Xenopus tropicalis: one gene and its partners. The protein of the gene in region 2 purifies or fractionates together with the protein of the main gene of each other region. This does not show direct contact. Links are inferred from orthologs where the notes say so. Each region holds a gene or a part of one and is shown on either strand. Other genes may lie near its edges. The genes, in order: scfd1, use1, rint1, napa and bnip1.

Evidence for each region.
Region 1: the proteins of use1 (region 2) and scfd1 purify together in Homo sapiens (affinity purification with mass spectrometry; 3 studies listed by BioGRID and IntAct, counting the BioPlex papers as one, with this or other methods). This does not show direct contact. The link is inferred for Xenopus tropicalis from reciprocal best matches to the Homo sapiens genes USE1 and SCFD1.
Region 3: the proteins of use1 (region 2) and rint1 purify together in Homo sapiens (co-immunoprecipitation; 3 studies listed by BioGRID and IntAct, counting the BioPlex papers as one, with this or other methods). This does not show direct contact. The link is inferred for Xenopus tropicalis from reciprocal best matches to the Homo sapiens genes USE1 and RINT1.
Region 4: the proteins of use1 (region 2) and napa purify together in Homo sapiens (affinity purification with mass spectrometry; 3 studies listed by BioGRID and IntAct, counting the BioPlex papers as one, with this or other methods). This does not show direct contact. The link is inferred for Xenopus tropicalis from reciprocal best matches to the Homo sapiens genes USE1 and NAPA.
Region 5: the proteins of use1 (region 2) and bnip1 purify together in Homo sapiens (co-immunoprecipitation; 4 studies listed by BioGRID and IntAct, counting the BioPlex papers as one, with this or other methods). This does not show direct contact. The link is inferred for Xenopus tropicalis from reciprocal best matches to the Homo sapiens genes USE1 and BNIP1.

The regions. Positions count from the first base shown.
Region 1 is NC_030684.2:113,060,951-113,065,668, forward strand, and holds part of scfd1 (sec1 family domain-containing protein 1), read left to right. Parts: intron 1-607; coding exon 608-698; intron 699-1,200; coding exon 1,201-1,274; intron 1,275-2,266; coding exon 2,267-2,348; intron 2,349-4,718. UniProt on the Homo sapiens protein: Plays a role in SNARE-pin assembly and Golgi-to-ER retrograde transport via its interaction with COG4. Involved in vesicular transport between the endoplasmic reticulum and the Golgi.
Region 2 is NC_030677.2:111,879,439-111,883,323, forward strand, and holds the end of use1 (vesicle transport protein USE1), read right to left. Parts: intron 3,650-3,885; coding exon 3,487-3,649; intron 2,096-3,486; coding exon 1,913-2,095; 3' UTR 986-1,912; downstream 1-985.
Region 3 is NC_030679.2:77,088,937-77,093,654, reverse strand, and holds part of rint1 (RAD50-interacting protein 1), read left to right. Parts: intron 1-1,027; coding exon 1,028-1,269; intron 1,270-1,374; coding exon 1,375-1,548; intron 1,549-1,630; coding exon 1,631-1,780; intron 1,781-3,500; coding exon 3,501-3,657; intron 3,658-4,718. UniProt on the Homo sapiens protein: Involved in regulation of membrane traffic between the Golgi and the endoplasmic reticulum (ER); the function is proposed to depend on its association in the NRZ complex which is believed to play a role in SNARE assembly at the ER.
Region 4 is NC_030684.2:79,896,452-79,901,794, forward strand, and holds the start of napa (alpha-soluble NSF attachment protein), read left to right. Parts: upstream 1-2,086; 5' UTR 2,087-2,109; intron 2,110-2,119; exon of another isoform or gene 2,120-2,376; intron 2,377-2,564; 5' UTR 2,565-2,577; coding exon 2,578-2,675; intron 2,676-2,867; coding exon 2,868-2,947; intron 2,948-3,068; coding exon 3,069-3,185; intron 3,186-3,835; coding exon 3,836-3,882; intron 3,883-4,972; coding exon 4,973-5,050; intron 5,051-5,343. UniProt on the Homo sapiens protein: Required for vesicular transport between the endoplasmic reticulum and the Golgi apparatus. Together with GNA12 promotes CDH5 localization to plasma membrane.
Region 5 is NC_030679.2:43,443,976-43,449,359, reverse strand, and holds the start of bnip1 (vesicle transport protein SEC20), read left to right. Parts: upstream 1-2,229; 5' UTR 2,230-2,259; coding exon 2,260-2,343; intron 2,344-2,422; exon of another isoform or gene 2,423-2,659; coding exon of another isoform or gene 2,660-2,689; intron 2,690-3,606; coding exon 3,607-3,699; intron 3,700-5,104; coding exon 5,105-5,196; intron 5,197-5,384. UniProt on the Homo sapiens protein: As part of a SNARE complex may be involved in endoplasmic reticulum membranes fusion and be required for the maintenance of endoplasmic reticulum organization. Also plays a role in apoptosis.

The DNA of each region.
Region 1 (4,718 bases), on a different chromosome or scaffold from region 2:
GTTTATTTGTAGGTGCTGGATAGTTAAATACAAACTTGAAATGTAAATAAAACATTTAAACTTTTTAATGTTACTGGTACTTTAAATTAGACAGTAACTTGTAATCTTTCTGTACATTGTATAACATTGCATAAAGATGATCATTTTCTGCAAGCAACAAGTAGGGTGAGGTTTGGTCATTGCCATGTCTTTAACCTTGTGACAGCAAAGCAAATGTAATCATTAAAATCACAGGTAAAGGAAACACCAATTACCAGCCCTGTGTTGGTTTATGGTAGGGATTTTAGATATTACTCCCAGGGTTAGAGCAACTGTCCCAACACACAAGCAGAATCAATTGCAATTTATCTATAACACTTTTGCTGCGCTGCTACTTGGGATGTCTGTGGTGGCTTATCATTGAGTGTGAGGGATAAGAGGGCTTAGCTGAGGTACCATAACCTGACTCATAACTATGATAATATGTGGGAAACAAATCTCTGACAAGGTTCTGTAAAGCACGTGTAAAATGAACTGGTATAATAATAACAGGTGGTAAGTATGTGATGAGAGGGTTAAAAGTGGAACACATGCTTTTGCTGTATAATTTGTATATCTTTTTCCATAGCCCCTTTCCAGAAGTGGCAGAGTCAGTCCAACAGGAGCTAGAATCTTACCGAACCCAGGAGGACGAAGTGAAGCGGCTGAAAACCATCATGGTAAAGAGCCACATATAACCTGGCGTGAGCCTGAGTCTTCAAGGAAATGAATCCCCTGCAGTGTAATTGCATTCAGAATTAGCACATTAGTATATTCACTAGGGTAACATTTCAAGTAGTGCCTTATTATAGAAAGCAAGTTTATGCAGGCATTTAAATTGCTATGGAGTCATTGCCAGATTGCTCTGGAAGCAGAAAAATATAACTTTTCATGCCATGTGGATTAATATATTAATGTCTTCTACAGTTGTATCTGACTATTGTTTAAAGGTAATACGGACACATTCCTATGAAAATCCACACAAATGTGTCAGTGTTAGTACAGAAGTTGAGGCAAGAACTCCTTTCTCTCCACAAGCCCCCCACACTGCCCCCAGCCCTGAGGTACCTGTGTTGCACAAAAGAGAATGTGCTGGAGGAGCAGCGTTGTTTCTTTCCACCATGCCCGGCTGGGGGCTCAGTATGACCTCTCAGCTAACGTTGGTTAGTTTTGTTTTCTCAGGGCTTAGAAGGAGAAGATGAAGGAGCTATCAGTATGATTTCAGACAATACAGCAAAGCTAACATCAGCCGTCAGGTGGGTGCTGTTGCTTTTTTTTCTCTCTTTAGTTTAATTTTGATGATGGGATAAGAATGAGCAAAAAGATTCTGTGTTCAGGCCCACTTTCAAACAGCTCTATAACAGTGAAACGTGGACAAGAAGAGAGCATGAAAAGGGAAGGGAAGTTACTTAAACATGTGGTTGAAAACTAAGTATAGTAACCTGGTATAAAGGGGCAGAATGGCGCTAGAGGATATAAGAAGTACAAGGGGTTGTGGTAAGAGAGTCTCTTCTAGTATGGCTAAAGAAGTAAGCTGACAGTCTGGAGAATGATGGATGGGGCACTGACATTTTGAGGACCAGGAAGCTGTGAGGATTGATAGGGGGTGGTGGTGGTACAGATATGGGATCAATTATCTGGAAACCTGTAATCCAGAAAGCTCTGAATTATTATTAATAAAACAGTACCTTGTACTTGATCCCAGCTATCCTATTAAGTTTAATTAATGTTTAAATGATTTTTTTTAGTAGACTATAGATCCAAGTTATAGAAAGACCCCTTATCTGGAAAACGCCAGGTCCTGAGCATTTTGGATAACAGGTCCCTTGCCTGTATAAGAACAGTAGATGTGTCTGGCAGCATGATAAGCTTTGCTAAGACTGAGAAGAGTGCAGAAGTGCTAGTACAGTGGTGCTAGGCTACAGTGACTGGGTGGGACACAATAATAAATATTTTGAAGACATAAAGGCTGTGAGGAATGGATTAGGAAGATGTAGACAAAAAGGCAGAGTTAATATGAGAGATACTTATATCGTTAAAGATATTGGCTTGGAGTTCATGGCATCATGATAAAATGAAGGTTCAGATGGTGATTGAGAGAGTAAGTAAGGATGGTGATGCTGAGTTGGTAAGAATGCATATAAAATCAATCACATAAGACAGGGTTAAGTAATGATATTTCTGTTCTGCATACCTAGCATAGGTAGGAATGAACACGTGTTGAAGTTTTTCTTCTCTATACTTTCAGCTCTCTTCCTGAGCTACTGGAAAAGAAAAGATTAATAGATCTGCATACCAACGTGGCTACAGCAGTCTTGGAACATATCAAGGTGAGACTCTCCTAGAAAGTCATACCCACTGATCATTTTATGGTTTCATTCTCACTTGGCTAGTTCCAGTGAAACCTGCCATTCAACAACTGCTATAGTATGGCCCAGGACTCACTCAAACACTCTTGGTAGTGCTGGTCTCCCTGGTCTGTGATGATGCACGGGTGACATAGTAGACTTGTGTGCCATCAGTTCTGTGCATACACAATTGACAACCAACTGCACAACAATCGTCTCGGTTTCATAGAAAACTCTTGGGTTTCTTTCACGGTGCATCTCAGGACACTGACACAGACAAACTAGTACTGTAGTTTTCATTTTCAGGTTACATGTAACCCTATAGAAAAACTATTTACCTAGTAGCACATGCAGACAGCAACTTATGGGTTAAGCCTGTGCATAAAAAAATAAATAAATTCAAGGAAGTTTTAGAACGTATGTGAAAAATGTAATGAGACATTTTAACTATCATTCCTTTTGGTGGGCATGACATAAAAGCTTGTCATTAGGTGGGCAGAGCCAGACAGGCTAGTACACTATTGCCTGGGATTTAATGACTGATGTCCCAGGGAGTCTGGTCAAGTATACATGTCAGCTCAATCCCAGAAGCGTAATAATCAGGCTTTGGGCACTCAAGAGCAGCATGAAATTCCTGCCATGCCAGTGCGTGTCTTCAGGTTCTGTTTCTTTATTTGCAAATTCCATGAATTGTATGGCATCTTTGTAATTAATTCAACATTGCAGATGTGCCACAGGCTTAATACATTAAGCTGTTTAGAAAGAATCCTTTGTGTTCTTGCTTTGTGACTTCCTGACAAGACACATAAGTCTCACTAAAAATTGTCTTTGGATTATTAACTGCACTGTGTAGCCCATCCAGCCCAAACCATTATCGTGGGTTAAGGATAAAGTATATATGTAATTCCTGTGGGCATATAGAAAGATAATATTTAGCTGGAGGCGGGGGAGACAGATGGAGACAGCAGGAGGGAGTAGAGGAGGCTGATGGAGATAACAAGCTAGGCATATCCATCTAGGCGACAGAGACTGATCAAGACAGCAAGAAACAAGGAGGTAAATTCTAACTGATGGAATATATACATACAGAAAAATAGATGTAATATTTTGAGTTATACTTCCCAGCAATAGTCAGCATTATATTATATTACAAGTAGGTGTTAATAGAGTTTAGTTCAGTGTCTTGTAAGTTAATGCTCATCTAGATCCAGCTAATAAATGAGAAAACTGCAGAACAAAAAGTTTTATAATTAGGTGGGAAAAAGCACAATAATATAAAGACCACTGACATACTGCCATAAAGTATCAGATTCAATATGAAACTCTTCTTGATCTTGTGATGATGTGATTTGTATAATATTAACCATTATGTTGTAAGAGATTATGGGTAACATTGTAAAAGGCTACAGTGCTTATTTACAACAGACTGGGGGAAGCAGTGAAGAACACTAAGGGGCACAAGTGCTCATTCAGCAAGCATTTCTTCCCTCATTCTGAAAGGTTCTGACCACAATGTCACTCGCAGTAAAAACAGGGCCCCATTACAGCCTGCAATCCTCTGGCACTCCCTCACACCTTACAAATTCAGTTATGCCAAATGCAGACAGATTTGTTTTTGTGTGGGGGTAGCTCTGTAACAGCGAAAGGCAGTGTGCAAAATGCAAAATAAAAAAGAGCACTTTTTTTGCGCTTTGCATGATAAACAACCATTTATGCTTACGTTCATTTGGTACATAACTGTTAAATAGATAATTTACAATGTAGGATTCAGCATGCAAGGTGCCAAAAGGACCACAATCAGACATCCTTTTGCATTTCGCAGCTTGCTTCCTACGTTGTGTTACAGTTTTCACTTGCTCTGCATTTTGATTTGCTCTTCTCTGTAGACAATTGGATATATGTTTTGCTGGCAGGGATGAGTGGAGAGCTCCCTTACTTTGCATGAATGTCTTAGTGCTCTATAGGTTGTATCTACCCAGTCCTGGGTCCTGCGCATTCTCCTGTATGGGGCTCTAAAAGTAGAGTGTACAATTAAGCTTAAGGACCCCTGTTTACCAATGTCTAGACTAGCTGACTAGAATGTGTTAAGGAATAATGTGCTTTTGTTTTGTGTTGATGGTTGCTGCATGCCTTTCACTTTTTCCTCATACTGCCTGTCCATGCAGTTAGATTCTGGTTTGAAGCTGGTCCCTACACACTATTCTATTCTGCTGCTTCTTCTTTCTTGCTTTTGCCTGTGTATTAATTGTGGAGGATAATAGGCCTTCCACATGATGATGATTTAGTATCCTCAAACTGATTTGGGATCATCAAAAGGGATCCAGGTATTTCCTGTTTGTATTTCTGGCGAGG
Region 2 (3,885 bases):
CCTCATAAGACCTCATGCTAAGTCTAAAGCAGAATTTTATTGAACTGCAACAACAGGAACAGAATTAGAAACTGTATTTAACTGTGCTTGGTGCCCGTCTGCCTTTCTCCACCAGGCTCTTCTTTTCTTTTCTCTCTCTTTTCTTTTTATCTTATCTTTTCTTATTGTAATGAATGTCTATTTAAAAATCTTAAATAAAAACTTAAAAATATATATATTTTTTAAGAGCGGGGAGAATAGGGCCCCTGCTATTTAGCCCTAAATACATACCTATTGTGCTTACCCCAAGTTCTGAGCCTGAATATCTTTACAATCATTTTCCCAGCATAAGATACAATTTTTGACAGGGGGCAGTGGCATGTGGCCATTCCCTGGTATGCTCCCCTAGCTTACACATCATTCACTTTGCTGAAATTGGAAAGTGTCAGGGGACACAAGGTGCTGGGTGTCTGCCTATGGCATGCAGAAGGTTTAGGCCATGTTTCTGGAAGTGACTCATGTTAATCAGAAAATGTATAAGTGAAACATCAACCCCTTTTCTCGGATTTTACACTATGTTTTCCTGGTCCCCTAAAAAAGTTAAAATGGGGGTTCGGCTGTAGATACAATTCAGTTGTATGCAATTGTAACCATAATATTTACATAACCCTGTAGATATGATTATGGCATCCTGCGACTCCTAACTTTCACACTCAGTTTAGAAGTGCATATTACCAAAGGTCCTGAATTGCAGAAGAACAGTTTCCCATAGCAACTAATTGACAATTAATTAACTACCAATGAGGAAATGAAAACATAGATTTTATTAGTTGCCATAACAACTGCACTGGCACAGTTTAGCATCTATCCTAGTAAATTCGCCCTAGCTTTTTCCTTAGGTGAATAGATATTAGAGATACTGACCCAACTGACTTTGTCCTACGGTGAAAAAACAAAGCTTCTCTAAAATGTGGGATTAGCAAAGATGACAAAAAGTACAAAGAGCTCTGTAAGAACTGTGTTTGCTTTATTAAAATGTATGTTTACTTTCTGTTTCAATTGCTTTTTCAGACCTCATTGAAAAATCTTCAATTTTGAAAAGGAGCTGTCTTTACAAGAGAGGCATTTGCCTCTGCATAAAGGTGACCCTGTCAATGGTGTGTGCATGCTGTCTGTGATATCATCCCGAATATTGTAGCAGGCAAACAAGTGAACACATTAGGAACTGTGATTCACTGTTACACTTACTTTTTAGAGCACTCACAAGCAAAACATGTGGGATTTCAATATTCACATCCTGTGAGCCCTGTAGGTATCCTTCTCAACTTCAGTAAAACTGCCTGGCACTGTGAAAACAGCAAGTGCTGTAAAGCTGTCTTCAAAGGCAGCATCCAAGGAACTTATGTTTGCCTGCCAACACCTTTCTAAGGAGGCGGTAATCATTATGATAAATGCCTTTCTACAAAGTAAATATTAAACAGTTGCATTTTATTTAATAAATACTGTGGTTTCTATGAAGTTCATAACGTAGTTCAATACAGAGGAACCAATGCTTGGATCTGATAGCTTATTAATTAAGCTATATTGCTTTTGGCATAAACAAAGAGAGTGAAATGGAATGTTTTGTAAATAAGCTAAGGACAAGTTTCCTGAAATTTAAGATAAGGTCATATGGTTTTTATTTTCCTGTGGCATCACTTGCCAATACTGACAATGAAAGTTTCTCTATGACACACCTGTATAACTGGCATCTGAAAGCAGGCGCCCAGTTTTTAGATGACCTTAGGCTGAGGTGGCACTCTTTCTGCCATTCCATTTTCCACTATGAAAATAGTGGTACTATCTGCAGTAGTAAACGCAATGCAAATTCCTTTTGGAAATTTGTTGCTTGTGTCTTGAGCAATGTACTATGAATGCTGCTTAGCTTTAACTGTCACCGCAACCTGGGAAATATTCTGATAAAAAGAATCATGCTAATAAAAGTGAAGCAGACAAAGATGAGCATAATCCAGAGAATCCAGTTGACAGACTTCTTGGCATGCTGCTCCAGGCGGTCTGATTCTGTCTTTAGCTTTTCAAAGTTCTGGTCAGCCAACTTGATAGAATGAGACAGTGTCTACATAGGAGAGGGAATGAGTGAGAAAGAGATGTGAGAATCACAATGAAACAAGTGAGCAACAAACAAAGTGGCAAAAGTCAAGGTAGTCAAACATTGGTTTCATTTTGGTTATTCATCTAATCAGACCAGAGGTCAAGTGTGGAATATTATGGCACATTTACCTCTGCAAGCGCAATGTGCAACTTGCCCTTTTTTCTCTGCAGTGATTAGTGCCCAAAACCACTTTCATTAAAGGTACTTGCATCAAAATATGCTCCTTGCACTTTCGTGCTCAGTGGCGCTCAGTTATTCCTGCCTTCCATTCTGAACAGGGCACTGCTGTGCCTAGTTACTTAGAAGAACCCTGGAGTTAACACCACCTTCTGACTAGGCGGTGGCTCCAGGGTTCCATAAGTGGCCTTTGCTAGGTAAGTGAATGTGCCCTATCGTATGAATTGGTCATGTATTTGGATATCCTTATTGCATTGCTCCAATGGATCTCAAGAAAACTGAAAGTAGGTTTTTACCCATGCCCACACCCATTTTACCGATGATAGTAAACCCCTCCATCCCAAACCCACATTGACTCGTCTAACTGTTATCAGCTAAGCAGACTGCATGGCATCCCAAATCATCCCTTCTTTGGGTGTTCAGTTCTGTGCTTCTACTGACATATTAAACTTACCAATTGTGTTTTCATCTGCTAATTTAAACTGGTAGACACTGTAGATCAGCCCACATAATATATGTATGTATGTATATCTTTATTTATAAAGCTCTACTTATGTACACAGTGCTGTACAGTAGAATAGATTAATACAAACAGGGGGTTATTAAAATAAAAGATAAAAACAAAGTATAACAATAAATACAAGTAAATACAAGATACAGTTGCAATAAGTTAAGAGTCAAAGAGACAAGAGGATGGAGGTCCCTGCCTCATAGAGCTTACAATCTAGATGGGAGGGAACATAAGCAAACTTTACATACTAAATGACATTTGTCGTTTACCATTATAATGTTTAGGGAAATATTTCAGCAGTGTAGAAAATATGCGATTCAATACATAGACTGATCTCTGAACTAACAAGTAAATTGTGACCTATTATGACACACATACACATTTTACTATCAAAAACTACATTATTTGGGGCTTTGCTAAAAATAAGAATAATGATGCAACAACTACCTCTCATGAAGGAGACACAAGGTAAGACTGAGTAAAAGGCAGGAAGTGAGCGCTATTTGAAGGATATTGTTTTATGAGGAATGACACGCAGTATCAAGTATTGGATTACCTGTGTAAGTGTGGGTTCCTGATAACACCATAACACAGTTGGCTTTACTAATGCCTGATGAATGCAGGCAAAATAAGAGTTCTGGAGTCTGGTCTTATTGTTCATATGTACCTGGTTATCCTGTTTAATAACATTCTGCGCTGCCAGTGTGTTGTTCTTTAGGTTTTGGGTGAGACGTAGCATTTCCTCGGCCAGTTTCTCTTGTAGATTATGATGATGCTGTAGCACTGCATCAAGCTCAGCCGCAGATTGCTTGTCATCTGAAACAGAGCCTCTGTTTGGGAGAAAAGAATGTTACTGTTGTACATGGGGTGAGGATAACAGAAGACAAATCAAACCTAGGCCAAAATAGGTATCCTTTGGTTCTTTCATCCACCACCAGCTGCATAGATAGTAAAGCATTTGTTGGTAGATGTAGTAATAAAAAAGCAGCTGAAAATTGTGTCCATTCCTGTCTACTTCAAGGCTAATTAGCACTGGAAATATGTTGCACTGGATCAAAGCACCAAA
Region 3 (4,718 bases), on a different chromosome or scaffold from region 2:
CAAGTAGTGACAAAACCTTCCTACTAGTAATTAGCAGGTCTCTTCTAACATGCACCTGACCATCAAAAGCTGCTTTCCAACCTGCACCCAAAGTATTGATCTTTCAGAGGATTAGAACATGGAATCAGCCCTTTATGTCAATCTTGTCTTTTAAAAATTATTCCTTTTCCAACCATAGTTTTCCTTGCAGTATTAAGCTGCACAAATGCAAAAAACAGGGCACTCTTAAATAAACCTTTTTTTTATCATTTATTAATGCCACACATAGAAATACCCAACACATTTCGGCCCTTACAACGAGGGGTCTTCGTCAGGGAAACATGCAAAAGGTGCAGGCAACTTACATTGACAAAGTGTTAGTAATATATACCCTCCAGAAAGTCCAAAATTTGACGTGCCAATCTTCAGCGTTACTTCCCCCATCACTTCCAGAATGTGCAGAGCAGGATGTCACTTTTCATGCTCACGTCCTTCCCTTAATGCAAGTGCCGCTTTCTTCCAGGCAGATCTCCTTTGCGTTGCACATTATCATTGCAACCTGTGACGGCAAATGCTTCTCATCATTTCAGCAACTCATCCTTGATTAATATGTATAATTGCTAAGGGTAACACAACATCACCTCATAAATAAGGCCATCTGGAGCTCATCACAGGTTAATACATATATTTTCAAGGCGTTGTTTTTGGTTTCCTTTCAAAAAAAATCCTTGCAAAACTGCATAGTAACAGTGCTATTTTTGCACTGGCAATAACTAAAGCATCTCCGGGAAATGGTAGCGCCCTCATTTTATTACAGTGTAGGAGCTCACTTAAAATTACTTCAGGGTTTTAGATGTAATTCTCAGCAGTCTTCAGTTTACATTTAAGCAAGTCTTTGGAATGCAGAGGGTTTGTTAAAATGCATAGCTCTATCCATGAAGTGTCTCCATGTCTCTATCACTGTCTCCATACCCAAAAGTGTTCACATTCATATGGCATAGTCCTTCTTTTGTAAAAACTTTTTTTTTTTGTTTGTTTTTAATTCCAGGTTCTTACTGTTTCCTCTGAGGCTCCTAAACGAATCCAGGCAGCTTTAAAGAATGCTGAAGATTCAAAGACTTCTCTTGATCTTCTACTCCAAAAAGAAATTGTAGTGACAGAATCCATTAGTGTGCACCTTGAAGAAGCTGCACCATGGATGGATGATCTAGGGGTACTGATCAATCAAATGGAAGAGGTTGAACGATACCTTTCCTACCTGAAATGGATCTCACAAATAGAAGAACTCAGGTATCAAAAATGCTACTGTAGCAGTGCCGTTAAAAACTAGCCTTAAATAATACGGGCTTTGCTTATTTAAGTAGGTAATTCTTATTATTTGATTGTATTTCTTAGTGATAACATCCAGCAGCATCTCATGACGAATGATGTTGCGGAGGCTGCCAGCACACTGGTATGTATGGCAGAATTGGCCATAAAGCTTCAGGAATCCTCTTGTTCCCATTTATTGACCTTTATAAAGTCTACAGTTCAGTTTTGGCATAAAATTCTGAAAGATAAACTGACAAGGTAGGGGAAAAACTTTATAAAGTAATACTATAATGGGACTTTTTACTGTGTTTAAACAAGGTATTTATATTTATTTCTTCAGCGACTTTGAAGAAGTGTTAAATAATTTGCACTGGCCTTTCATTGGTCCTCTTCTATCATCAGCCTCTGCTCCTCCTGTGTCGGCCACTGTAGCAGAGATCTACACTAATCTTGAGACTCTCTTTTCTCAACTTCTCAAACTTCAAACTTCGTATCCTTGCCAAATGATAGAAACTACTCTGATCGCTAAACTTTTTATTTAGTAATTTATAATACTTTTATACTCAAAAAGATGTACCAACAAGAGAGAGAGAGAATAACAAATTCCAATTTGATTGTAGGCAAGAAAGGTAATGGAGTGACTGATATTAAAACACTTTGCAGCTAATATATTTGATGAAGATTAGAGTGTTCCAGTCCTAGAGAAAATGCACACTCAAACATCAGTCACACTTGCTTGGAAATCCTGAAGTGTCTGGGTTCATAGCCAGCAGGAATTATTGAAAAAAGATTGAGAAACTTTGCTACACAGCAATGCTGTTCACATGGCACAGAACTGTATTTATTAAAGACAAAAATCTGCTCCTCAAAATGTAGGATGTTGCCTAAAGCAACATGTTTGTCAATTACACTATAGCAAAAGAGGGGAAGCTGTGCTCACCACTAAATTTTAACCCATTAGGCAGGGGTGCAATGAGGCTGTGATTACAAAATATAGACAGAAACAAGAGGTCCTCTGCACTTACCTATTTTCAATATATAATAAACGAGGCCTGCATATCCTGTAAATTATATCCTTATAATATACAGTTTGGTCATTTCCCTATGGGACCAAACTGTAAATTATATCCTTTATAAGTGGTGCTTAGTGATATCATCAGTTATAATCGGAGCTTAGTGAAGTCATTTCTGTTATAAGACTCACTGAAACTTGTACATTATAATAAAGTACCCCCTATTGTAAAATATGAGGGTATTAGAAGTGACGTTGGAGTTCCATGACCAGATAAAAGCACGAGGCCAAAGGCCATGGTGACTTATAATATCCCTATATTTCACAATTGTGGGTACTTTACTTATTATATAAACAGTGCTTTGTGATGTACTTTCTATAAAGTACCCCCTATTGTAAAATATGAGGAAATTAGAAGTCACCTCGGAGTTCCACAACCTCTTTGACTTATTATATCCTCATATTTTACAGTAAGGGGTACTTTATTCACTATATATAGAACATTTAATACCATTTGGGGACTTTAACCTTGAATGCAAGCAAGTTGAAGATGACACTCAGTTCCTTTGTTAAATGTATATTGAAGCTGCAGAATTCTTAATGAATGAGATAAAAGTAAGTGTAGCAGTGGCCAGACCGGCACGACTTTGAAGTAGTTGGTCAGTGTGAATATGTTGCAATATATGAACAAACAATCCCTGTTTTGTTTACAGGTTAGGGCATTTCCTAGTAGCTTAGTGCATGGAATGTCACGTACACAATGCATTGGTGTTATTTGACTGTTGCTTTGTTTCTGTGGGTATTAAACTTTTGAAAACATATTAGGGCTCATTTACTAACAGACACAATTGCTATGTCAAAACTGCTCCATCAGCACACAATAAAGATAGTTCTTGTGTCTTGCACCATTGTAGAGAATATGAAGAAGGGGAGTGCAAAGCAGCCAAGTCCTGTACTTCTTGCCTCACCTAATCAGATGTAACATCAGGGTTCAATTTCCTTGAGCTTCATGCAGAGAGGGCAAAGAAATTGCATATAAGCATTCTGCACCTTTTCCTCATGTTGGTAATGGGCCCTATTTGAAAGATCTAAAACAATACTCCAAAGACTGAAAACTTGTGTGTATCTTTAGTATATATTTTCCCTGTGATAATTTGTTACCAGCAATCACTGTTAAATTCTTAATACTGATACCTAGCGATGAATTAATTACAAAACCTAAAGAGATGCCAGAGAAATACTCCCTTCCTGCACTACCTCCTATAATGCTTCCCATACAGATCATGCTTTCCCCTCTGCAGAAGAGGTTCCGCTATCATTTTACAGGCAACAAACAAACCAATGTCTTAAGCAAGGTAAGAATTTGTTTTTTTAGTTCTGCAAACACACTGTAATTAATCCTGTGGTTTTGGCACTGATTAGTGCATAATTTGTATTAAGTTTATTAAATCAAATTCTAGATTAAGCAGGTTATGTACACAAGAACCTTTTTTATTTAGCTAACAAAAGTGATATGTTTATTGCCTAGAGCAGTGCTGTCCAACTTCTGTTGTACCGAGGGCCGGAATTTTTCCGACCTACGTGGTGGAGGGCCGATAATGGATGCCAGTTTTGACCACTCCCCTTTTTGAAACCGCACCCACTTGAAACCACACCCATGTTATCACATGACCATACCCATATTAATGGTTGTAGTACAGCAAAAACCTGCCATACTCTGCCTGCCCTACCCTGCCTGTGTGCCATACTCTGCCTGCCCTACCCTGCCTGTGTGCCATACTCTGCCTACCCTACCCTGCCTTTGTGTGTGCCATACCCTGCCTTCCCTACCCTGCCTGTGTGTGCCATACTCTGCCTGCCCTACCCTGCCTGTGTGCCATACTCTGCTTGCCCTACCCTGCCTGTGTGCCATACTCTGCCTACCCTACCCTGCCTGTGTGTGCCTACTGCTCCTGAGGTGTGAACAGGGGAACAATGGGGGTAATTACAGCCTGAGCCTGAGGTGTGAACACTGCAGGGGGTGAACAATGCAGAGATTAAAAGGTGTGAACAACACAGGGGATTACATATTTAAACAATACAGCCTGATTACAGCCTGAATCTGAGGTGAGAACCATGCAGGGGGGGGGGGGGGCAGTTAATCACAGTACTGATACCATTTAAAGTTTACACAAGAGTAAGCCATCAAAGCAGCCAGACAGGTGGGGGGCCACACAGAGGGGGGTCGCGGACCGCCAGTTGGACAGCACTGGCCTAGAGTAATGCTTTATCCAAAGGAATTTAGATGCATAAAAGTGCTGTTACACTCAGTTCACCCTGCAGCCTTACAATTTCTGCTGGATATTTTGAGAACTGTAGTTCAGCAACTATTACATGACCTGTGTTGTGCATCACTGGTAAAAGAAATGTTTAAGAA
Region 4 (5,343 bases), on a different chromosome or scaffold from region 2:
TATTTTATGCCAGAACATGGCATTTGATGCCATTATTTTAAATTACTTCAGACCTCATGTAATCCATTAAGGTCAGTAGGAAGAATTCAAGCTTCAAGTAAGTTTGCGCCAGAAAAAAAACCGGGATGGATGAACGACTTATTTTCCCATAGCATTTTTAAATGGCTGCTTCTGTTTAAAAAGCAGGGGGTTGACCACAATAGAAGGCCATGATACACAGTATCTGGAAGAAATAAGTCTAAAGCAACTTCTGAGTACTCTTATAAACGTTTCACCACTCAACCAAGTGGCTTCTTAATTTCAGCCGACAGGTAGGGAATTACCTGGCATTTAAACTCTTAATGGAAATACAGTCACCAACATCCATCGAACTATTCAGATGCAAAAATGTGATCCAGTCACGATAATTCTCATTGAGGCAGGTGTAAATTCTTCAATGTACTTGACTGGAATGTTCAAGTTTGCATTCTTGAGAGAAAAACCACCAATGCCATTGGTAGGCAGTCATAGGTCCCAACTGTCCCGCTTTACGCGGGACAGTCCTGGTTTTTGCCTACTGTCCCGGATACTTATCAAAATGTCCCGCGGTGCCTTTAAGAGTCCCGCTCGTCTGCAGGTCTTCTCGGCTCATTCCGTCACCGCTATCTACGGATCTTCACGGCTTCTTCCGCGCGTTTGTCTTCGGCTCTTTCCGGCTCCTTCAGGTGCTTCGCCATCTCGGTCCTTTTTGTGGTTGTCTGCAAGTCTCGCGAGATGTGAGTATGGCTGAGCAAGCCATTTCACTTAAAATTCAGAACGAACAGGATGGGTGCTAGTGCTGCTCAGGCTGTGGGTCACAAAAGTTACGCTGGTGCTGCTGTGCCTTTATCTACTACTATACAAGCTCTACTTACTGCTCCTTTTTTAAAAAAAATAAGCTTGGTGAGTCCCTGACTGTAACAAAGGTGTTTATTAATAATGAATATTAATTATTTATTAAGAATTAATAAACACTTGTTACAGTCAGGGACTCACCAAGCTTATTTTTTTTAAAAAAGGAGCAGTAAGTAGAGCTTGTACAGTAGTAGATAAAGGCACAGCAGCACCAGCGTAACTTTTGTGACCCACGACCTGAGCAGCACCAGCACCCACAACAAATAAAAAAGTGCAGGAAGAAGCTGTGAAGATCCAAAGACAGCAGTGACAGAAGGAGCCAAGGAAACCCAAAGGAAGACAAAAAGACCTGAAGACGAGCAGGACACTTAAAAGACACAGCAGGACATTTCAGTAAGTATCTGGGACAGCGGGACAATGTGCAAAAATGGGACATCTGGGGGTGTGGCCATATAGTGGGCGTGGTCAAGAAAAATTTCGCCGCGCTTAGCGCTGCAAAATATTTTGTCCCTCTTTTTCATTTTCAAATGTTGGGAGGTATGAGCAGTTTATATTAAACTCATTGCCAGGCACGTTAAGCAGTTTGGGTTATTCTTTACTGCCTTTCCTTAACTTGGCCTTCAGGTCATTAGTAAAGTATATAGTTGGTGGTGCACCAATAAGCAAAAAAAACTGTTTCCTGGACCTTTAACCTCTACCGCATTTATGCTTAGAGAGCAGAGAATGGTAACATGGAGTTACTGTAATAAGCAGTATTAGCTGAATCAGAACAAAGGCTGCCCCCTTACTAATAATGTTAACGCCAGGGTAGTAAAAATGATGCCTCGTTCCAAACATTGCCAATAGCGAGGCAAAAAGCTAAAAACAAACAAACCCGGAAGACCACTGTTTTTTTTAATATGAAATGCAACACTACACGAAGATAAGGACAACTAAAACATAAAAAAGATCATATGTAAAAAAATGATAATGTAATAGAAAACAACGCACTACAGTCTGTATTATTTTTAAAAAGGAGTACACATCTTTCCCTTTAAATGCCGCTCAGAAAAAGCCTAACTACATCTTCTGACTGTGTCTAGGCGGATGTGAATGCTAACGTTTGGTCACGTGGCACGGATATTGGCGGAAACAGAATAATCATGTGTTCTGCGGGCGGAAGTTTTGCTGTCACTGAAGCATAGCTGCTGATCCGGAGAAATACTAAGCGCAGTCATTATTTGCCTGCAAAATCAGGTCAGCGTCCCGCACACTGTTACAATTCTTTCCCTTCTGCTTGCCCTATTCTTCTGCTCTCTGATTCCCGATTATCTCCCTCGGCCGTCTCTCGGTTCAAGGGTTTTTGATCCCTGGCCTCTGCCTCCTGTTTGTCTCTATCCGCGAGTATCCTCGTATTACTAGCTCGTCGGCTTTCTACGAGGCCTTTCACTCATTTGCAGAGCTTTTTCTTGGCTGCCTGCCTCCTAGTTCTGGTTAGCGCTCTGAATCGGCTAACATCTTGCGGTAATAGAAAAACTTTAATAGATTAACTACTTTCCTAAAATGTAATTCCAGGCCCATGTTACAATGGCTGATTCTATGGTCTCTGATCTAATACCGGGGAATTTTTCTGAATTTATAGATATTTTCTTTTTTATAATTTATATTGGCATCTATTTTCCATATTTTCTGATTGTTATTATCATTGACAGGCCCCATTCAACCATGGATAACTCTGGGAAGGAGAAGGAGGCTCTGCAGCTTCTGGCTGAGGCTGACAAGAAGGTGAAGTCATCGCAGTCATTCTTTTCAGGGCTGTTTGGGTAAGTGAATTAGAAATAATTACATGGTAACAGGGCAAAATCTGTTTCTGACCAAAAGCATTGAACTGTCACTAGTGTTAGTAATATTAAGCATTTACAACGCTGTAGCTGTCACTACACAAAGCATTTTACATTTTGTTAATCTTATAACTTGAATAGTGTGTAATCTTTGTCTGTTTGTCTGCATTTAAGAGGCTCCTCTAAAATGGAAGAAGCATGCGACCTCTATGCCAGGGCTGCCAACATGTTTAAGATGGCCAAGAACTGGAGTGGTAGGTAGTATGTAATCTGTAAAATCATTTGTAACAAACTTTCCATATATCCATATATAGGTATATAGATATTTATACTCCTCGGAATAGTGCAATAAGATGCTCTTCTTCTTTTTCCCAGCTGCTGGCAATGCCTTCTGCCAGGCTGCCCAGATCCATCTTCAGGTTCAAAGCAAGCATGATGCAGCCACTAACTTTGTGGATGCTGGAAATGCATTCAAGAAATCTGACCCCCAGGGTAAGAGAGGTCCTAGTTGTCTCTTGAATGAGTCTTTTTTTTTTTCAAAGTTATCTATCAATAACTGTTTGTACCAGCACCCAGTGTTCCCCTTTGATTTGTTTTCGGTCATATGCACAAAGATAACATATTTATATCAGTTATGTGCACAGAAATGTGGGTTGTTGTAATAACTAAGTGTAAATAAGTGTTTTGCACAAAAGTGTTTTTTGTCTATTGTGGCAATACCCCCACAATGATAGCTCCAAGAAGAATAAAATGCAGAGACCCCCCTCCTCCCCCGTCTTGATGCTCCTGAATACAGTGCTCCTCACCTGTAACTGTTAATAATAGACAAAATAGACCGGTGTGATTTGCAGCATTTTTTTACTATCAAAGCAATCCTAGCACTGGTCGCCAAATGCAAACAGGCACATTTCAAGCTGATCTGATATTGTCTTGACCAGAGAATGCCATGCACAGCCAGGCACATGAATATATTCTTATATATTCATCTTGAATATGAAATGCCAGGTGATTTTAGGCCTTATTTTATTAGAGGTATTTTATTAAATGAAATAAAGGCTTTTCTGCAAGAATACATAAAGCAATGCTTAACTTTTTCAATAATAACTTTGATAAATGATCACAAGTATCTATATTGTTTTCAGAGGCAATTAACTGTCTGCTTCGAGCAATAGAGATCTACACTGACATGGTAAGGACAATTTCAAACTATCTTCCGCTTTTTTTTGGTCTTTATCACTTCTTAAGTTGACCACAAACAGAGTGACAATGCGAATATGGCTAAAAGAACGCAAGATGTTTAGTAAGATATTTGTTGACTAAGGATCAAGGTGTGTTTAAATGCAGTTTGTAGAGAATGATACATATGTGTTTGGGAAATGGGCAATAGAATTGTTATGGAAACAAGTGGGTTTTTTTTTAGTCAGAAAGTAGCAGGGAACAAAAAAAATGCTCTTCTAATGAATGTTCGGATATCGATCATACGTTTAAATGCAACGATCTAAAACTAACATTCAGACTGAAATTGTAGGATAAAGCTCTAAAAATAAATTGGAGGATGTTCTGAACATGAAATAGTAGGCAGACATCAATAATGCAAAAGTGAGGGCAGGCAGTACCCTTCTGAACAAACTCTATGCCAGGTGGCAACAGGATCTCCCCCACATTACACTTGAACTGTGGGAGGAGGTGTTGGAGTCAACCTTTGATGCTGTAATTAGGGATACACCCCACCGTTACAAATATTAAACCAGGAGCTCCCACAAGAGTGCCCCAGATGTCGTTTTTCACCATCTGACTTTATCCAGCTGTTGTGGCCTGTGTGCAGCACTTCTGGGAGGAAGTGGCAAAATATATACCCGGTAGAATGGATATCTGGTATATGCTCAGTCAGGTTCAAGAGCTGTCCCCCCTCATAGAGAAAAAAAAAATGTAAATGTCCATTTTATGTATGTATGCAAAAAAAAAAAAAAAAAAACCCACAGAAAAATTGCACAATTCTTAAAGACACCTGGTGGGCCAACTGTGGCAGCATGAGAAGCTATGGTGGAGGGAGCCATTCCCCTGTATCCCCTGCATAGGCGGTCCTCAAAGATTTGATGTTTGTTGTTGGGTTTTATGTTGAATTTTCTTGTTTATGTTTAGGTTTATTGTAAAATGAGCATCCTATTCATCTGGTTTTTTTTATGATGTTGCACCATGTACTTTTCAAATGCTTAATAAGAGCATAAAAAAACAATCAAAAAAAAAAAAAAAAAAACCTTGTGTTTTTTTTCATGTAGGGAAGATTCACCATTGCCGCCAAACATCACATTTCCATAGCAGAGATCTACGAGTCAGAGCTGGTTGACATAGAGAAGGTGAGTTATTTTCTCTCTCAGATATAATCTTTCTCTTCTTCCATTTCTTCATATGCTCTCTCTCTCTCCCTCTTTCACGACAATTATCCTTTATGGTCTCTTAAAATGCTGGTTGCACAGAGATATGGGAGGGTTCAAATAAGTGTAAAACTAAGTGAACAATGTTTGTCCATGCAGTGACCTCAATATTTGTGTGTGCGAATAAGTGCTTGGCTTACAGGGAACTTTGTCCTAGATCTTTTATTGTTCCTCTGGGTCATCAGTTTTGTCTGCCTGCTTTTAGGCTGATGCCA
Region 5 (5,384 bases), on a different chromosome or scaffold from region 2:
ACGTATCAGTATAAAGTATCCCAGGAAAGTGCAAGTGCTACACAAGACACTTCTACAGATTAGGTATATAGCCTTGTGGAGAGTTAGTCCCACACGAACTTAATGCACAGAAATAAAGAAGCCCCTTGTCCCGGCCGGGAACTTACTCGGGTATAGACAAAGGGAGGAACAGGCTCCTTGAAGCGGCTGGACGCCGTTCTCCTTCCTCCGGTGACGTCACCGGTACGAGCCGAATCCCAAAGTACGGGTCCTCCCTAGTGTCAAAAAGGTCCGACGCGTTGGACACGCCCCTGCCTTAAAGACTCTACCTCTACGTATTCCTTTACAGAATTATTTGCTAACACTGACCCTGGATGGGTAGCTTTCTTTCACCTGCTGCAGCACCACCTTCGCAGTGCTCCTAGGTAAGTGATGCCCTGGATTGGCACAGGTACAATAAACAGTCCAACAGAGACAAAACAGCACAGGCATTTGCCCCCTCCCACACTTAATAGACTCTGGAATGTGATGCCAAGCCAAGGGCAGCAAGTCACTAAAAAGTCATAATCATAAAATGCACTATGTTTGCCCAGGATCAGTAACTCATAGCAACCAATCAGCAGGTAGATGCACTGGTCAGCTGTTTAAAAGCAAACATCTTATTGGTTGCTATAGGTTACTGCTACAGGAAAAAAGTTGTGCCTTTTAATACATATGTGGGTATGAACACTGTTATAGGAATAGTTCAGTGTAAAAATTAAACTGGGAAAAATAGACTGTGCAAAATATAAAATATTTCCAATATAATTAGGCAAAAATGTAATCTATAAAGGCTGGAGTAAGCATATGTCTAACATAATAGCCAGAACCTGACTTCCTGCTTTCAGCTGTCTAACCTCTTAGTTAGTCAGTGACTTTAGGGGGGCCCACATAGGACATAACTGTTCAGTTAGTTTGTGAGCAGGCAGGTCAGATTCAAATGCAAATTAACTGAACAGTTATGTCCTATATGGCCCACTCAGGTCACTGATTGGTTATTGATTGCTAACAGCTTAGAGCTGTTCTGGCTATTATGTTAGACATCTGCCCACTCCATTTTCATTTTTACACTGAACTGTTCCTTTAAGATAGTCACAAGGAAAATTATAGACTAACCAGGCAATTATTTTAAACAAAGGAGCACCGGGGGAAGAGGAAAAGGTAAAGTACTGCATGGCAGGGCAGAAGCGATAAGAGGTGGGTTGGGAACCATACAAAATAACCCCAACATTATTTAATTTACTTGTGCCAAGAATAACTTTCTTCAGTTTTAGAATAATACAGCAGTGAATCATCAAGCAGCATTTACTTTTCTGGTCTTTAAAATTAATTATCTGATTGGTTACTAGGGGTATTTTTGTAATGAAAAAATGCAGAAAGTTGGCCAGTCATGTTTGTGCCCAGATGTGCAGCTTTCAGCCCCAGAAACATCCCTCTCAAAAGGGAGTAAAATAGATGATAGGTTCGGGACAGGTAATATTCTGAGCCCCAGATGTTGCAGAAAAACAACCACCAAAATTCTGTCCTCCCTTATCTGAACCACTGGTGGGAGCTGAGGGTTGTAACTATAGATCACTGAAGTACCATGGGCTCATGCAAAGCCTCCTATAGTTCTCCTTTCCACAGCCACATACTGCTGCCCTTACTGTACTGTACCCTTTCCACTCATACCCCGAAATATCTATTATTTTTATTATTAACAAGCATTTATAAAGCTCCAACATATTCTGTGTTTATGTACAGCAAAAAAGGGTCTCTAATGTCATTCAGCAGGAAACCCCATAGTCCAGTCTAAGCCTGTTTACATTTGAAGTTGACTGTTCACTTGCTTTAAGGGTGAAGACACACAGAGCTACTTAGTAGCAGCTAATTGTCACAGCTACTAAACGCCAGAAAATACCCTGACATAGACAATACTGAGAATTACCTCTGCCACATAGAGACAATTAACAGTAAATGATCAGCATTGTCTATTTCTGTAGCCGTGACAAGTAGCTGCTACTAGTAGCTCAGTGTGTCTTCACCCTAACACCCCTTTGAACTGAGCAGAACGTTTCTTATTGTGTGCGTTTTCCCAAAAGCACCTCTAGATGTCTCTGTGCCCCCTCATCGCTGTCCATACGAGCAAAGAAATTACCTCTCCATACAGCAGATGGCGCAAAGGTTTATTTTTGTCTTAGTCAGAGTCATCGGTGCATGGTATTTTGTCCCATTCCGCGCACCGTTGTTAAGCCTGTCGCGATGGCAGATTCGCAGGATGTCCACGTCCGAATTTGTCACCAGGAAATCGTTAAATATGACCTGGAGATCAAAGCGCTGATCCAGGTAACGCAGTGGGGTGCTGAAGGGGTGATCGCCATTAATAATACTGACTTTCTACATGCAGGAGGCAGTAGGGAATTCAGCTTACCATTAAGGGTCCGAGTTTGTAATATTCCCTATGCAACGCCACCTAGCGGCAGGCCGAGCTTACGTACCAGTTCCGAAGACTCCAAACTCAATGGTTTATGTTTGAATGCGGACTGGTGTAGCGTTACCGGCATGTACTGATAGTTCCCTACGGTCACAGCCTACTGTATGGTTTGGTTAACAGAGCCTGGCAGTTTTATTTTCCTAAATTATTACATGGGCTTCCTGCTACATGTTCCATGTACTGCACCCTAACAGTTATGTAGGTATAATACATTTAACTGGCTGATAACTGAAATAGCTATAATGCTTTCCCAGCTAATGAGCAGTGCTGCTATCAGTACTCATAGGCTCTATACTACTGAGTTAGCAGGGGGCCTCAAGTTTAACCCTCAAGTTTAACCCTTCTGTCATCTGGGCCATTATGAACCAGAATTAACACTGACATTAGTTGTTACCAGTGGCATAAAATAAGGTCAGGCTTCCAAGCAAAAGACTTTTCCGGGCCCTCACATGTTGGGGTGAGAGCCACTTACACCCTCGGCCACATAGTGACCACCACCTTCGCCTCCATGCTTGCAGAGCCAGAAGTAGCTGTAACCATACAGCAGGCCATCTGGATATCTGTATGCTAGTTAGCCAGTGAATGTTAGTATATCTTAACCAAAATGTCAAAATATCAGCACCCAGTAATCAAGTCTTTGTCACCAGTAATATCTTTGTATAGAATAACTTCCTAAAGCTGATACCTCAAGAGAACTGAATCCAAGTGATTTTGGTCACACTTATGGCACACCAAGCCTGGGATTCAAAATAGGCCCTGGCACTTCAAGTACACAATGTCCCAAACAGTGTCTGTCTATGGCTTCTTACAGCAGCCCCTCTGGCATTTGCCAGAATCCACAGATTGCCAATCTGGGCTTTTTGCACACCCAACCACAATTTATTATGCCTTGACTACACCCACTTACAACCCAACTTTATCCTTGGCTGGAGGCTGGTGGTTACTACCAGCATATTAACTGTCATTTTTTAATGACGTTTGCTAGGCATCTCATGTGCCACTATGTCATTTCAGTTTGGGAACAGCACAGCAGATGGTACTTTCTCATTGGATCCTTATCCCCCTAGCTCTTCTGTATTGTATGTAGACGTTTTAAAATGATTTGTCTTTTATAGGACATCAGAGAATGCCCTGGTCCTCTAAGCACCCTAAATGATTTCAATGCTCAAGTCAAGGAAAAATTCCACCTGCTGAGGCTGAGAATACAGGTACATTGTGTAATTTAGTAAAGACATTGCATTTTTGAGGGAAAAACTGGCTAGGTAATTAGAAATTCTTAACCACAAGAGAGGTTGATAATAAGTAATTGGGGCCTCTGCCCTATGATTAAACTATATTTTAAAACATTAAAAGTCCATTTACTGCCTATAACAGGGATCCCCAACCTTTTTTACCCGTGAGACACACTCAAATGTAAAAAGAATTGGCAACACAAGCATGAAAAATGTTCCTGGGGTGCCAAATAATGGCTATAATAGGCTATTTGGTAGCCCCTATGTGGACTGGCAGCCTACAGAGGCTTTGTTTGGCATTATATTGGGTTTTTATGCAACCCAAACTTGCTACCAAGCCAGGAATTTAAAAATAAGCCCTTGCTTTGAGGCCACTGGGAGCAACATCCAATTGTTTGGGGAGCAACATGTTGCTCATGAACCACTGTTTGGGAATCACTGGCCCATAATATTGGGAGCCCTCAAAGCAAAGCATATTATTCGCTCAGAGTTTTTTTCTAAGCACTTTTGCAAAGTACATTTTTTCTACTTTCTCAGTTATTAGAAGTTATTTGAAGTGCTGATTATTTTAGGCCAATGGGCTAAAAGTGGCTAAAAATGAATTTCCTGAGAAAAGAAACATTTTAAGGTGTTGCTCTCCCTAGAACTGATCACAGAAACACCAGAGACTCCACTTTCTAAGCAGAGCATCATTACAAAATGTTTCTTATCTCAGGCAATTCATTTTTAGCCAACAGTAGCCAGTCACAGTAGCCAGCCAGCTGAAATATCCAGCAGGTGGCGCTGTTGTTTCAAATATGTTATATTAGCCCAGTGATCCCCAACCAGTGGCTCGGGGGCAACATGTTGCTCCCCAACCCCTTGGATGTTGCTCTCAGTGCCCCCAAACCAGGTAGTTATTTTTGAATTCCTGACTTGGGGGCAAGTTTTGGTTGAATAAAAACAAGATTTCCTACCAAATAAAGCCCCTGTAAGCTGATAGACTGCATAGAGGCTCCCTAATAGCCAATCACAGCCCTTATTTGGCACCTCCGTTAACTTTTATGGTGCTTGTGTTGCTCTCCAAGTCTTTTTACATTCGACTGTGGCTCATGAGTAAGATAGGTTGGGGATCCCTGTATTAGCCATTTCAAAACAGCTAATCTCTTTAAAACTAAAATAAAAATAATTAAAAGTAGTTCTAAGAGTACTTTGCACAATTTTATAGTCATTTGTCTTGATGGATTACAGTACTTGTTTACTTGCTTGGATTTACAAAAAAAAAAAAACATTTTTGCATGAATCATTGCTCATCACCAAAAGTGATCACCTTTAAAGTCATCCAGGTAATAGTTTTCTAAACCTATAATTGGTGATATACTTCTTTGTTATTTTGGAAAAGGATTTTGAACAGTTGGCTAAGGAGCAGGATAAGGAATCTGACAAGCAAGCATTGCTGAAGGAGATGGAGTGCCACAAGAAACAGATGTTAAGGTGTGTATGGTCTGCTGCTTACATCTTGAGCTGTGCGAAAAATGGCCCCATAGCTTAATAAATAAATGTTATATAAAACAGGTGAAGAACTTTTCTTGCTTGCCTCTCAATATGTTTACAACACAAGGTTAATCAATATTGCTCTGTAGTTGTCCTACAAAGCTGTCCTGCAGTTGCTCATACATGTT